Pelodiscus sinensis: one gene and its partner. Each later gene encodes a partner of the first gene's protein in a complex. Links are inferred from orthologs where the notes say so. Each region holds a gene or a part of one and is shown in the gene's direction. Other genes may lie near its edges.

Region 1 (6,950 bases):
GAAAGTGGTCTGGACACGTTTAAAAAAACAAACAAACCTTTTTTAAAAAACCATGTAAACCTCATTTTTTTAAGGAAGAGGGGTTTTTCGAAAAAGGGTTTTTTTTTTTTCCTGAAAAAAATGCGTCCAGACTACTTTCACTTTAGAAAGTGAGACTGGAAAAATACAGCATAGTCTAGATGGACCCTTGGAGAGCTGTGTCCAGTTCTGGGCACCACATTTCTAGAAAGATGTGGAGAAAATGGAGACGGTCCAGAGAAGAGCAACAAGAATGATGAAAGATCTAGACAGCATGAGCTTGAAAGAAGACTGAAAGAATTGGGCTTGTTTAGTTTGGAAAGGAGAAGACCGAGAGGGAACATGATAGAGGTTTTCAGGTGTCTAAAAGGGTGTCAAAAGGAGGAGGAAGAAAATTGTTCTCCATGGCTTCTGAGGATAGGACAAAATGCAATGGGCTTAAACTGCAGTGAGGGAGATTTAGGTTGGACATTAGGAAAAACTTCCTAGCTGTCAGGGTGGTCAAACATTGGAATAAGTTGCCCAGGGAGGTTGTGGAATCTCCATCCCTGGAGATATTGAAGAGCTGGTTAGATAGGGATGGTCTATAGTACGGGGTCCTGCCGGGAGGGCAGGGACTGGACTCGATGCCTCTCGAGGTCCGTTCTGGTGTTCTACGATTGTGTGACTCGCCCGTAGGGGTTGGGGCCGAGAGCTCCGAATGCCACAGTCCACCGAGATTCTGCCGAGCGGTCTCAGCTTCCAAGGGGAGTCTGCCACTCGGTGGGTGGACTGAAGCCTGGTGCCACTCGGAGCTGGCACGGAGTTTGCCTGCTGACTGAGCCGGTGTGGTGACTTTCCGGTGGCAATTTGGGGCTTACTTAAAGCCTGCAAACTCTCGGGCCACCACCAGGCACCTGCAGCTCCAGCTCCATGAGGATCCCCTGGTACCGCTCAGGACGATCTTGTGTCTCCTGGGGCAGGCATTTCCCTGCCAGGGGCAGAGCTGGGGCCTCTGAATTTGCCATCTTGACTTGAGATTTTGTGGCCTTAGGACCCCCAAGAGCCACCCCCCAACGGCAGCCCTCTGTGTTAGCCCTTCCGGGCCAAGGAGACCATGGACCCCGCTCCAGCACTGCCCAGGGCAGGGAACAGACCATCCCCACCCTGCCGGACCCGTCTCTCAAAGCTCAGTCCGCCTCAGGGAGCCGTGTAGGGGCGGAGGAAAGCCAGGTACCAATTCCATGCTGCTGCCACACCTCCGCCTGCCAGAAGATGTCCCCAGAGACCCTCCCTGGCGCTCTCAGCAGTGGCTGGGGGGGCGTTGCTCTGAGCCCTCCCTGGGGGGCTGCAGCAGTAACTCGGCCCATCCATTTAATCCCAAGTGACACGGGGACCCTGATTAGCAGGAGAAGGAGGGAAGGCAAGCTCGGGGCCCACGCGGGGCTGCAGTCAGAGGTGGGGACTCAGCCCATGATACCCAGGGACCCCAGCGTGTAGGGGCCAGAAGGAAAATGTGACCCTAAAATGCAGGAAATGATCTGGGGGGAGGGGGGTGGAACTAATGTTGCTAATTTTACCCCTTTACAGCTGAGCTGATTCTCCCAGACAGGCAGCAACGGGCAGGAACAGCTGCAGCGTCTCCCCTCCCCCAGCTCGCTTGCCGGCACCTAGCTGGGATTCGCCAGGACTGTGCTGCAGTGGGGCTGCTGGGCCTCCGACTGGGATGCGCTTCAGAGTGGGTGACGTGAGCCTGAGGCGGCATGAGCCGTACCAGGGATGCTCTGAAAGTGGCAGTGTGGCTGAGTGGTTAGCACCTTCAGGGCACCCGGCTTCTGTCCCTGGCCTGCTGGGTGATGTGGGGCCTTGTCGTGTGGGGCTGCAGTTTCTCCACTTGTAAAGAGCCTACTGTCTCTGTCGCGCGCTCTCAGAGCATGGCTGTGAAGTGCAAGGTACGATTGTTTGGTCAGCTCTGCTGTGGCTGTGCTATATGACTCTGAGAAGGCTGCTGCTCCCTGTCTCAGTTTTCCCACCTATATAATGGGGATAATCTGCCTTACCCACTTTTCTCAAGTGCTCTGAAATCTGCAGGTAGAAGGCTGCCTGTGCTCAGTATTCTCCAGTACTTGTGGCAGACTGAAGGCAGCAGGCTGCAGGAGTTTGGGGAGGGCAGGTACACGGGGAGTCGGGTGAGCGGGTTCCTGTTCTCTACCTAGGCGGCTAAAAGCTACCTTTAGATCTGCAATTGTGTGTCCAGGGAGATTGAAGTGTTCCAGACGTGTACCCAGAAGTCTCCTACTACAAGACAAGCCCAAGAAAGAAACCAACAGAACACCACTGGCCATCACCTACAGTCCTCAGCTAAAACCTCTCCACCGCCTCATCAGTGATCTACAACCCATTCTGGACAATGATCCCTCACTCTCACAGGCCGTGGGAGGCAAGCCAGTCCTCGCCCACAGACAACCCGCCAACCTGAAGCAAATTCTCACCAGCAACTACACACCGCACCATAATAACTCGAACTCAGGAACCAAGCCCTGCAACAAACCTCGGTGCCAACTCTGCCCTCATATCTACACCAACGACACCATCACAGGACCTAACCACATCAGCCACACCATCACGGGTTCATTCACCTGCACATCTACCAATGTAATATTCGCCATCATGTGCCAGCAAAGCCCCTCCGCTATATACATCGGCCAAACTGGACAGTCCCTACGTAAAAGAATAAACGGACACAAATCTGATATTAGGAATGGCAACATACAAAAACCTGTAGGAGAACACGCTCCCTTGGAAGCCGTCTCAGAGCTTCACTGCCCTTCTGACTGACTGATGGGCTCTCACAGCCCCCGGTGCAGAAAATAGGGTGCTGCAGCCCCAGGCTTTGCACCTCAGCCAGCACCCCGAGCTCTTAGGGTCCCTGCCATTGGCCCCCAGGGATCATGGATGCTAGGCCTGCTGCAGCGTGGGGCTCTGCTGCTGGCCCCACGTCCTGCTGGGCAGCGGGTCCCACTCGGCCATCAGCCCTATGCCTGGTGGCTCAGTTGCTGGCCATTGTCCCACTTGGCTGCTGGACTTGGAGGCTCCGCTGCTGGCGCCTCGCCACAAGCCCCATTTGCAGGGTCCTGGCTGCCAGCCCCAGCGGTAGGGGGCAGTGAGGGGGGTGGGCAGGAGTAAGGGTGCACCAAGTACCCCCGCTCCAGAAACAGCACGAGGGCCGCTGCTTGCAGCCGAGCGTGGGCAGCAGCAGAGCTGGGCTGTTTGTTCCAAGCTCTGGATGGGGCTCAGGACACTGCTCCCCACTCCTCGTGCAGGGCCGTCCGTGCAGGGCCTGCTCATTACAGTCCCATCCAGGGGCAAGAGTTCTGAGCTGGGCAGAAGCAGGCTCTCAGGGCTCCTGCCAGGCGTGGGGCTCGGGAGAGCTGCGTTCCATGGCCTAGCTGCACAACGGCTGTTAGGTGCCCAACTCCCAGTGGTCACTATGTGCCTAAATCCCTCTGAGGAGCTGGCCTCTGTTCCTCTTCTGCCAAGCAGGGACCAGACACTGGCTCCCTCCCATCCGTGTCGCTCAGATTCTGCCGGCTGGGACAGGGTCGGCCTCCCACGTATGTGCGGTGCCCAGCGCTACCCGATCCCGAGCACTAAGAACGGCCTTACGGGGGCCGTGTCCCACCAAGCGCGGTGGCAGGAGGAATTCCCGGGAAGCAGACACCAGCTGGGAGCGGCGAATGCCCAGCGCTAGTCTGGGTGGGTTTATCTGCAGCCTTCCCCCGCCCGAGGGAGGACTGTCGCTTCGCTCTGTGCGCGCCCCGCGCCCGCTTGCACAACGCAGGCAGCTTGTATTGTTTAAACAGCCTGCTGGTTCCTCGGGCTGCTCCAGAAGCCGGGGGGAGGTGGGGAAGAGGGTTAGGGAGAGAACTGAGCTGGGGCGAAGAGAGTTTTTCTCTGCGTATTTCCCTCTCGGCGCGAGTCCTTTGCCCCACTCCCAGCCTGGAGCGATGGCTTGGGAAGCCATGACCGGCTTGGGATAAGCTGGGGACGAAGCAACAGCTGCAGGGTTCTTTTGCTGTCTCAGGAACTCTGACAGCACCGGGCGCGGAGACGGTGTCTAATTTTAAACTCCTGCCTGGTGCATTTGTGTATGTGTGAGCTCGATTTTCAGCCCCCTGCCTCCCCCTCCGCAGCAAGGAGACTGGCTCGGCAGCAGAAGAGAACCAGAAGGGGTTTTGGTCGGGGGCCGGGGGTCTCAGCTGGGGGAGAAGTGGAGGAGGGGCCGGGGGGACAGCAGCTGGCAGAGGCAGCTAGGGAAGGAAGATCATGGAGTCTGCTTCTGCCCAGGATGATCAGAAGAAAAAGCAACAGAAAGAGAAGTCCAAGAAACCGGTGCCACCGGCAGCCCCCCGGCCAGCCAGGGCTCTGTTCTGCTTAACCCTTCAGAACCCCTTGCGGAAAGCGTGCATCAGCATCGTGGAATGGAAGTATCCTTTCTGTCTAGGCAGGGAGGAGGGACCGGGACTGGGGGGGCTAGAAATACGGGAGACCAGCACCCCGACAAAGGCCGAGGGGCACTGGCCAGTGTGTGATCAGGGAATGCCTCGACCCAGCGGCCGGCCAGAGGAAAGTACGTGGCCAGGGCGCTGGAGGGAGCGTTCGGGGCTGTTTGGAATGTGGTTTACGCAGAGCTGGTGTTCCTGTCCCTGGCGGCCGGAGAGGGGCCTGTCGGTACGGCCCGTCTCGCGGGGGATCCGAAAGGCCAGGGGAGGCTGAGGAAAGGTGAAATATCCATGAAAAGGAGCGAGGGCCCCGATCCTGTGATTCCCGCTGCACTCAGGGACGTACAGCTGGCGTCAGGGAGGTCCGGATCTGGCCTGTTTTCTTGGGCCGAGGGCAGAGATGGTGCAGCAGAAGGGGGGATGTTTGGGAGGTTTGGCTCAGGGACCCAGTGGCTTTTGTTTAGTCTTTGGCAGCAAGCAAAGATGGGGCCAATGGAAATAATCCCCAGAGTCCCCCTCTCGCGAGTGCAGCCTGGCGGGAGGGGGCAGATCTTGGCAGGGGACGCCGCTTTCGCTTCATGAGGGAAGACATACAATCCAGGGCTGGCAGAGGCCATCTTGGGGAGGAATGCGAGCGGGCCAGGCGGAGGCGCAGGGACTTGGGGCAGCGTGCCCGGGGCGCGTCGTGCGCCGATGGCGGGCAGGTGCCGCGCGACTGGAGAAGCCGGGCCAGGGGTCGGGGTGTGGTGGGGAGAGGACGCACTTTGCAGAGGGAGCAGGAAAGAGAATAAGGCGGAGGAGGCCCCGGGAGGGGCGGTGGGGCAGGGGGAGTAAAGCCAGGGGACGGAGAGACAGAGCTGCTTGGAATAGCTCCGGGAGTGCGTCAGCGCCTCGCCGGCTGCCCACAGCTGCTGTCTGACATCACAGACGGATGGCTGCCTCTGCCCCTCTCCTCGTGCTTTCCTTCGCCCTCCTTTTCCCCTCCCCATCTCTGTCCCCACCCCCATCTCTCTGCCTTCCCCCGGCCCCTCCCTCTCTCCAGCCAGGGCCCTGGCGCTGAGCCCGGCTTGGCCGAAAGGCCTGCTGCAGAGGACCGAGTTCAGGGTGATAACAGAGAGTTCGCAATGGGCCCGTCTAGGAACCTGTGATTCTTTCCTTTCCCCGCCCTCGCCCTCCCCTCCTTTCTACGCTCTGTCTCTGTCTCCTTCCCCTCTCCTGGCTCTTTCTCGTTGGACCTCCCCACCCCATCGCCAGGGAGGCTGCCCAGGGGGCACAGAACCTGGGCCCCGGGACCCAGCTGTTCTCCCTTGGCGCCTCATGGGGACGCTGCCAGGCTCGCTCACGGGCCAAGCCGGCGGGGGTCAGAGGCGCTCGGCTTAGCCCCGGGCCCAGAGAGGAGCCGAGGCTGCTTCCCTGCCCCTGAAAATCGTTTGCTACAAAACTCTCGAGGGACGTGTCAATTTCTGCCCCTTGTCACCATTCACAGGGCACTGAAATCCAGGCCTAGCTCCCTGGGCGGGGGGCGAAGGTAGGGAGGCAAGTCCCCAGCCCCGCCCCCAGCCCCGCCCCTTCTGCCTAGGCCACGCCCCCATCACGGGGAGGTGGGGTGGTGCTAGGCCCAAGCCTCCCAGCCCCAGAACCTGGGGATGGCGGGCGCTTGGGGGCAGCAATGCTCCGCCTGCAGCAGGTGTTTGGGGGGCGGGGCCAGGCTGGCAGTTCGGGAAGGCAACGCCTCCCCTTGCCTAGCGTACCAGTGCCCATGCCTAGCTCTTCCCTTATCCCTGGGGCTGGACTTGCCTGTGCGTCCCGCTGGGACCGTGCACGGGACGGGCAGCGCCCCGGCATCTGCGTGCACTTCCTGCTGGCCAGTTCCCCCCCAGCCAGCCCCGCTCCCTCTGACCCCCTCCCAGACAGCTCCCCTCCCCTCCTGGCCGGTCCCCCCCCATCCCGTTCTGAGATCACGTGTGTCTGGTATTTTTTTGAAACCCCTAGGAGCTGCCCCGGGACTGGGGAGCAGGGCTGGCTGGGAGCGATCGGGGGGGCAGGGGAACCAGCCAGTGGGAAGCAGGGCTGGCCAGGCAGGGATCAGAGGGAGCAGGGGGGAACTGGCCAGTGGGAAGCAGGGCTGGCCAGGCAGGGATCAGAGGGAGCAGGGGGGAACTGGCCAGTGGGAAGCAGGGCTGGCCAGGCAGGGATCAGAGGGAGCAGGGCTGGCGGGGGGGAACTGGCCAGTGAGAAGCGGGGCTGGCCCGGGTGCATGCAGATGCCAGGGCACTGCCCATCCCGCACCCCAGATCTGTAAGAGGGTCTAAATAGGAGCATTGGTGTAACCACCAACAGGAGACTTTGAACCTGGGACCTCTGGAGCTTAGGGTAGGAGCCACTACAGCAGGGTTACTCAACACACGGCTCATGGCCTATTTGTTTGCAGCCTGCAGTGCAGTTTGGGTT
Region 2 (8,014 bases), on another chromosome or scaffold:
TTGCACCCGGGGGGGGGGGGGTTGGGCTGCACCGCCCCCGCCCCCGGATCCCCCCCGGCCCTGCTCGGCCGCTGTCTGCGGGAGGCTGCACTGCAGTTGCCAAGCCGCGGGTATAACTCGGGCAGCGGCTCCGTGTAGCCAGGCGGGGGCCGCTTCCGCTGACACCTGCCGGGCCTGTGACGCCAGCCGGGTGCTGATGCAGCAAACGCGGCGCTGGTGACCCGCTTGCAGCCCGGCTGGGGGAGAACCCCCCCCCCCCCGGGGAGTCTGGCTCAGACGCCCCTGCTGGAGCTGGGCGCGGGGATGTCTCCTCCCCCAGGAGTTTATGGCTGGGACCGGCCCGCTGGCCTCCTGCGGCGGAAGGGCGCCCTCCATTGGGAGCGGGGCGGGATGCATCTGGGCCCGAGCTGGGGCAGTACACCCCCCTTGCACTGCCCCTGTCTGCAACCCACAGGCCCTGCCCCGTAGCCCCACACCCGCCGCTGGCTCACAGCAGAGCCACCAAGGAAGGGGCTGGCGGGGAGGGGCCTGCCTGCCTCCAAGCTGATGCTCCCCAGGCCAGGAGGAGCTGGGGGAGCCAGCAGGGGTGTGGCTGACAGAGCCTGGGCCTTTTAAGGGCCTGGGAAGCCGACCTGATTGCCCAGCACAGCTGCCTAAAAAAGGGTCAGTCCTGGGAAAATCTGGTTGGGTGGCAACTCTACAGCCAGCCTGTATCAGCCCCCAGCACCAGAGGAAGGGGCAAGACCCGCCTCCCCCCAGTGGACAATCATAGAACAACCTGCCCATGGGGGCATCTCTATAGGATTTACCCGGCTCGGATGGAGACCCTCGGCCTCCCCCGTCGCCAGGAAAGAAAACGCCCCTCGGCTCCAAAGCCAGATGCAGCTGCTGCCTGTGCCCATCTCTCTGCGAGGGGCCTGGGAACGGGGTCTGCCGGCCAGGCCGTGGGATGCCGGGGAGCGGCGGGAAGAGACGGACGAGCTGCGAGCGAAGCCTGAGCTCTGGTGGCTCCTCGGCTGACGCTCGCCGGCAGGGAGAGCGAGCAGAGAGCGCGCGAGAGACGAGGGACCAAATGGGTCGAACTCCGGGGGCTGTTAACCCGCTGTGACGTAGTGGGGGTACCTGGCTGGTTTCTATGCTGCTGGCTCTGGGGTAACCCCCCCTGGCTGCCGTGGGTACCACGACCCAGCAAAACAGGATGAGTCACTATGCAAAGGGACCTCTCAACCGGTATGGCCAGACACCCCCCATGGAGAGGAACAAAGGAAGGTGGATGCTGCCCTGGCTGGGGGGCAGGGCTGAAAGGGTGTTGGTTAGTTGCTGTCTGGGAGCATGGAGGAGACAGCCTAGGGAAAGGGGCTGGAGTTTAGGGGCCCAGTCTCCCCCATCTCAAGGGGGCCTGAGGCATCCTAGCCCAGCTCTGTGACCAGACTACATCTGTGCTGTGCTGTATCCTGGAGAGGCAATAAACTTCCTCTATTCCACCGGCTGGTGCAGTCTGTTTGTGCCATTTCGGGGTGCAGGAGACGGGGGACCCCCAACACGCCGTCACACCCGCTGCCTGAGCTTTTCCCTCCAAGGGAGGCTGCTGCATTTGGAGCCCAGGAGCAGAGCACGATGGAGGAGCAATGGAGCCCGACTCCAGCCAAAGCTGCCTTGCCTGGGACATGGTGGGGTCTCTCTCTTGGGCCCTGGCTTGGCCGGTTGCCCAGCTGGCGCCAGCAGCAGTTAAAGACCGTGTGACATGTTCAGGGTGGGAACATAGCCCCTCCCTCCCCCCAATATTTCCACTGCAGGAGGCCTTGCTCCGCTCTGACCCTGAATCCAGCTGCGCCTTGTCCAGTGTGTGACCAATGCAGGCAGTGGAGACATGGCAAATTCCTGGCAGCCGGGGGCGCTCGCCTCCAAGGACATGGCGGAGTCGCTTGCTCCAGGCCACATGGCTCTCCCGGAACGTTGGGCTGGAGCTCAAGCCAGAAGAATTTTCTCCCCAGTTTATCCTGGGGCTAAGGAGATTTAGAGCCCTGAAATCTACACATGGGAGGGGGGAGCTCCATTCAGTCCATTCTCCTGGGCCGGCTGCTGGAGTAGGGTGCTACTCCACATAGGGAGAGGGGAGCAGATTGGGGCCCAAGGGGTCAGATTCCCAGCACGCTGCGTGTCCCAGAGTGTCCGAATCCTGCAGCGCTCGCTGCGACCCCCCAGGACTGGCCTGTCCAAGGCTTCCAGGGCCCAGGCTGTAGAATCCCCCGCGCCCCTGAGACCAGCAGGAGCAGCTGGAGGCTGAGAATCTAACCAACGCCTGCCAGGGACGTCTCGTAAAAAGCCTCCTGTCTCGGCGATGACTGAAGCAAGACAAGGGGCTCTGGTGCATTTTAATTCCCTTGGCTTTGACGGATGGGACTAAATGGCTCGTCAGCGCCGTAAATCAGCCCTTTGCTTGGCACTGGGGGCAGTGACGCTTGTAAGACACGTCCTCCGCCCGGGGCTGCGTCAAACCAGAGAATCCGCCTCTCGTTTGGAGTGGCGGGGGGCGTGGTCCTGCCTCTTAGTCGTTCACCCCCTGAATTTCCCCCCACCTGGCAATTAGGACGTGGCCTCCATGCTCCCCTGCGCCCGTGGCCTCCCAATGGCTTCTGGAGGCAGTGGTGGGATGTATCAGCATGCCACTGGGCGATTTCGCTTGGGGAAGAACCCAGATGTGGCTTTCTCCACAAAAAAGCACCGAATTCTGCTGGGGTGTCTTCAAATAGATACCAGGCCTTGGACAGGCTGCGGATAGGGGGCGACTCCACTTTTTGATAGGGTTTCAGAGGCCTGGCTGCACTTCCAGCTGAGATCAATATAGCTCTGTCATGTGGGTGTGTGAAAAATCCGCCCCCCCTAAGCCCCGCAGCCCTGCCAGTTTAACTACCAGGGCAGCCACCGCTCAGAACAGCCCAGGGTGAGGTGGAGGTGATCGGAACTCAGGCATCAGTGAATTAGGTGCCTACTCGCCCTTGGGAGCTGGGTCTACTGCCCCTCTCTCCTGTCCCCAGTGTGGGGTGCTCGGAGCAGAGCCTTGCGGGAGAGAGAAAAGAGCTGGTATGTTCCACACACGTTACCCTTGCGTTTGTGTGGAGAACACCCCAGCCCCGTGTGGGCTGAGTAGATCCCAGCTACAGACACACACACAGACACACAATTCTCCGCCCTTCTTGTCACTGATCACAAAATGGCCCAGGTCTCTCGTCTTCAAAACCCAGGGACTGTATTTCTGCCGGGCGGGGAGGGGAGGGGGGCTCACACGATCTAACCACTCGGAGGGCCACAGGGGCTGGACACCAGCAGGCAGGGAGGGTTGCTTGTCCTGGCTCTACCACTGACTCACAACTTGCTGGAGGAGAAGGGGCAGCTCTTGTCACTGTCCTTTGGACAGAACCTTCCCCCTCGCTGCCCCTCTGCTGACCTCGGAGGGCCCAGGTGATGCCTGAAAGGGGAAGGCCAAGACAGGGCAGGAAGTTGTCCTGCAGGAGGGCAAACCTGCCAGGCACGCAGGGCTGATGCCAGGTTACTATGCCTGGTCGGGTTACTATGCTGAGACATGCTCAGAGGCTGGCGGATGAGTAGAGATGGTGGGCAGCAGAGTAGGCACAAGAATAGGCCTGGTGAAGTCATCAGGCGGATGCCACCGGCTTGAGCAAGAGAAGCCTGCGGCCGGGGAGGGTGGGGGCGGGTGGAGAGCAAAGGAGCCAGGAAAAGCCACTCTCCGGTGCTCAGCACCGCACAGGGCCCTGTGTCCTCCCTGTGCCCCCATCAGTCTCAGCCGGCAGCCCCACACGGCAGCTGAGAACCTGCCAGTGATCTCATTGTTCGCAAGGAGCCAGGCGGCATCCGTGAGCAGATGTCTGGGAGCTGGGCCTAGCCGGAGGCAGGCTGGGGGAGGGGGAGAAGAGGCCTGACTTGTGGCACATGGCACAGACAACCAGAAAGTGGGGCGCAAGGGGGGTGAAGGTTAAGGCAGCAGGGGACGGGTCTTGTTCTCGGGGACGGAAAAGAGAACCGCCTGCCCCACTGGGGGATTTTAGATCTTGCTGAAAGCAGGCAGCGAGGAAAAAAATTCCACCTTAAAAAAGGGGAGATGCTTCCACAGAACCCCTTGCCCCTCCAAATTCACTGGATATGAGGGACCCCGCTGGCCCAGGCCGGGGTGTGTGTGTGTGTGTGTGTTCCAACAATGCACAGTAGCAGCTGGCAGCAAGAGTATCTGTGGAGTGGAAGGGAGAATAGGGGGGTGAGGATAGATCTGGGGGTACCGCCCCAAAAAACACCTGATCCCACGGAAGAGACTGACACACAGCCTGGCAGAGGGGCTGGAACAATATGGGGTGGGGGGGCTGAGAGCCACGACCCAAATGGTGAACCCTGGCTATGATGGACAGACACCCCATCCATCCAGGGGGTGCGGCAGCCCCCCCCATCCAGCCAGGGGGTGCGGCAGCCCCCCCCAATCCAGCCAGGGGATGCGGCAGCCCCCCCCCCCATCCATCCAGGGGATGCGGCAGCCCCCCCCCAATCCAGCCAGGGGATGCGGCAGCCCCCCCATCCAGCCAGGACAGCCCTCCCCCTTCCTAGGTCTGCTCTGAAACTGACCAGCTGCCGACGGGGGGGCCCCCTGCAGAGCCGAGAGCCCCGGCTCCCACGGTGCGGGAAGGGGGGGGGCAGCTCCACCCCCTCGCAGGGAGCCAATGGGCGGGCGGCGGCTGCCTCTGGATTAGCATAGCCAATGAGCGAGCGAGGTTAATGAACTTCTCGTAAAGCCGAGGGGGCGGAGCCAGGCAGCCTCCTAAATCAAACTTGGGCGCAGCGTGCGGCGGCGGCTCAGAGCGCGGGGATCGGGCGCCCAGCGCGGAGCGGCCGGGCCGGGCCAGGGGCAGAGCCGGGGGCGGCTGCAGAGGACAAGCCCGGCGCGGGGGCGGGGTTTTCTGCGCTCGGCTCGGGGGGGTTGTTGCATTAAAGCGGCGACCGAGAAGTTTTCTCTCCAAGTGGGAGCAGGGGGGGAGCCGGGGCCGCGCCCCCCCTTCGGGCGGGGGGGGGTTTATTCTCCCAAGCCAGCAAGGGGGGGGGGGTCTGTCTCCCTCCCCCTCGTGCCCCAGTGGCGCCCGCACCATGACGGAGCTGACGGAGAAGGAGAACGACCCCCAGGGCGCAGATGCCCAGCGGTGCCCGGGCACCTTCGCCAGCCCGCAGGAGACCAAGGTAACGCGGAGCCCGGACGCCTGCCTCTGCCCCCCACCCGCCTGGAGAGACGTTGACTTGCAGCCCCCCCTTTACTCCTCTGCCCCCCTTCCTCTTCCCCCCCCCCCCCCGACGCGCGTCCTGCGCGGTGCCAATGGGCCCTTTTCCAGCCGGGGGGCGCACGCCTGCCCCGCTCGGAGCGCCGCCTGCCCCGGGGCACTTTGGCTTGTCAGCGGCCGCGGGGAGGGACGAGCGGCCCCTTTGGGGGGCTGGCGGGGGCTCTCGCTGAGCGCCCCCTTGGCACTAGCTTGATCCTCCTGCGGGGCGACCCAGGAGGCTGCCCTGACAGAGACCTGCCCCCTCTTGCTGCACCAGATGATGCTTAAACTCCTCAATGGGTGGGGATGGGGAGAGGGATTGTTTTGCTTGTATTCTTCTCCCCCCCCCCCCAAAAAAAAAACAAAAAACCTGCCAGCGCCTGGAGCTTGGCATCTGGCTTCGCTCCTGGCCTCAGCCAAATGGGGTTTCCAAGAGAACAGCTGGGACGCCTCTGCTTCCCCCTGCATAACCGGGGATGGGGCACTCCAGGGGTGGGGTGTCTTGTGGCCGGGCAGGGTGGGGAGGGTGCCGGGGTCTGGCAAGAGGCAGGGTAGCGCTGCGGCAAGGGGATCTCTTCTCCCCCAAGCTTCATGGGAGGCCTCTTTGGCATCACCTTGGCGTTGCAGCAGCCGGAGCGGAGAGGGGAGAGCCCCTGGGGATGTTGGGGGGCAGAGGACGAGGAGTTCAGTGGGAGATTTACACGTGGGGATTTGGAAGGGGAGGGGTCACTGCTTCAGGCTTCATTCAAAACACTTCGAGCAAACCCAGCAGACAGGGACCGACCTGGTGCAGAAACCAGGCCTCTTACCCCCCCCCCATCCTGTCTGGACTCCCCCAGTTTGACGTACTAGAACTGCGGGGAGCCCATGCAGTTCCGGGGCGTAAGGCAGGAGCGGAGTCCTGGTAGGTTGCTGGGCTGGAAGGAAAAGGGGGAGCAGATTTTACAGGGGCTCGTGGCGGGGGGGCTCAGTGCCGCCGTGACACAAGCAGAGGGTCGGAAAGGAGGGACGTTCGGGGTGCGATTTGCTGCCTTTGCTCTCGCCCTGGCGTAGGACGGCTTGGTGGGTGCCTGTGGAGTGATGCTGGTTGGATGCCAGTGTAAACGCAAGTGGATTCAGGCCTGGCTTCCTTTTCGCGAGAGGTGCTGTCCGTGGCTCGGGTGTGTCTGGCTGGTGCCCGTCGCTACCCCGCTCTGGCATGTGGCTGGAGTAAAATGGATCCTGTGTGTTTGTGACTCGTTTAGGGGCTGGGCATACAGCCTGCAGGCCATGTGTTTTTTGTGGGGCTGGGCCCACAACCTGGAGGCTGAGGGTTTGGGGGGGCTGGGCCCATACCCTGGAAGTGTGGGCTGGGGGTGGGCCCACAGCTTGGAGGCCGAGGGTGCGGGGGGCTGGGCGTACATTCCAGAGGCATTGGTTTTGGGGGGGACTGAAGCCTCACTTCCAACTCACCCCAGAACCATACAGGATCCCCAGAGATGGCACATGGCTTGGATGGGGCAGGTAGCATCTGGGGTCTCCCTGCGGCGTGTTCGAACCACGGTTGGAAGCCAGACTTGAGTGATGAGCTGTCTCCGGCAGTGCCTTTGGGACCCTTGGGGTAGGGGCTGCCCCCCCACTCTGTATCGGGGGGGTGGTCCTGGGGGCAGCAGGCCCTGCTGTGAGCCCTCGGCCGCAGGAGCGTTCCTCACGCGATGTGGGCCCCGGTCTGCGAACCGGGTCGGCCACGGTGGCTGCAGCAGGCTCTGAGCCTGTCGTCCGTCCGAGTGGCAGGGACTGAACTGGGGCACTTTGGGGGCTGGTTGAAGTAAAATCCCGCTGGTGCCCCCCAGTGTTCCCTCTAATTGCTTGCATCCATGTGCGGAATAAATGTTCTGCGCAGTGTGGCCTGTGCGGACGTGCACCACCCGTAGAAACACCCGCTGCTGGCTGGGGGCGCTCTGCTCAGCAGCTGAGCAGCGTGTGACTCTCCTGGGTGGCCGCCCAAGCACTCAGCATACAGGGCACCCTGCTGCTGCCGGCGTGTAATGAGCAGAGGGGCCGGAGGCTTTTTGCAGCGGGACCCAGTGACTCCCCTGCCGGCGCAGCGATCTGGGCACCCGCGAAAGGCTCTGGAGGGGCGACCACCCGGGCGCTGCCTCTGCTCTGTCTTGGCCCAGGTTGCCATCTGCTCTGCCTGCCCCCCATACCCTCCAAGTGGGGGGGCAACTCCATTTAGAGACCCGGGAAGGGCCGAGGCCTAAGTGTTTCCACCAGGCCTGTCGCTGCTGTGGGTGCCTCGCGGTGACCGCATAGACCATCCCTACGCCTCGGGCCCAGGAGACAGGTGTGTGGGGGGGGGGGATTTCTCCTGGCCCAGGGCAGGCCCTGACCGTTCCCGCGCCGGGGAGGGTGGATGCAATGTGCCCAGAGAGCGGCTTTCCGGGCCCCTGGCTGCCCATCAGCAGGGACCCACCTGCTCTTTCCGCATGCTGCCTGGTTGTCCCCTCCTCGCCATCCTGCCGGCTGCCCACCCTCTGCCCACCCAGGCAGGTTGGCATCCTCCACCCCCTTGTCCCTCCAATCAGTGTGCCAGCTGCCCTCTCAATGAGAGCCTTTCCGGCCCTGTCCAGGGAAGGGGGCATGTGGGGCCAGGTTGCCTCTGGGGATTCCCTGCGTGGGGGGCAGCGGGAAAGAGGCTTGGGCGCAGAATCCGCCCT

What was found.
Region 2: the proteins of CACNA1S (region 1) and STAC2 are in contact, whole or in part, in a crystal structure (PDB 6B27), measured with the Homo sapiens proteins. The link is inferred for Pelodiscus sinensis from reciprocal best matches to the Homo sapiens genes CACNA1S and STAC2. Residues at the interface, in NP_000060.2 of Homo sapiens: Glu749, Pro750, Glu751, Ile752, Pro753, Ser755, Pro756, Arg757, Pro758; in NP_945344.1 of Homo sapiens: Tyr301, Lys302, Phe303, Gln306, Glu307, Asp310, Asn326, Asp328, Trp329, Phe340, Pro342, Asn344, Phe345.

Annotation. Positions count from the first base shown.
Region 1 is NC_134737.1:15,030,322-15,037,271, forward strand, and holds the start of CACNA1S (voltage-dependent L-type calcium channel subunit alpha-1S), read left to right. Parts: upstream 1-3,942; 5' UTR 3,943-4,323; coding exon 4,324-4,484; intron 4,485-6,950. UniProt on the Homo sapiens protein: Pore-forming, alpha-1S subunit of the voltage-gated calcium channel that gives rise to L-type calcium currents in skeletal muscle.
Region 2 is NC_134739.1:12,029,441-12,037,454, forward strand, and holds the start of STAC2 (SH3 and cysteine-rich domain-containing protein 2), read left to right. Parts: upstream 1-5,003; 5' UTR 5,004-5,148; coding exon 5,149-5,238; intron 5,239-8,014. UniProt on the Homo sapiens protein: Plays a redundant role in promoting the expression of calcium channel CACNA1S at the cell membrane, and thereby contributes to increased channel activity. Slows down the inactivation rate of the calcium channel CACNA1C.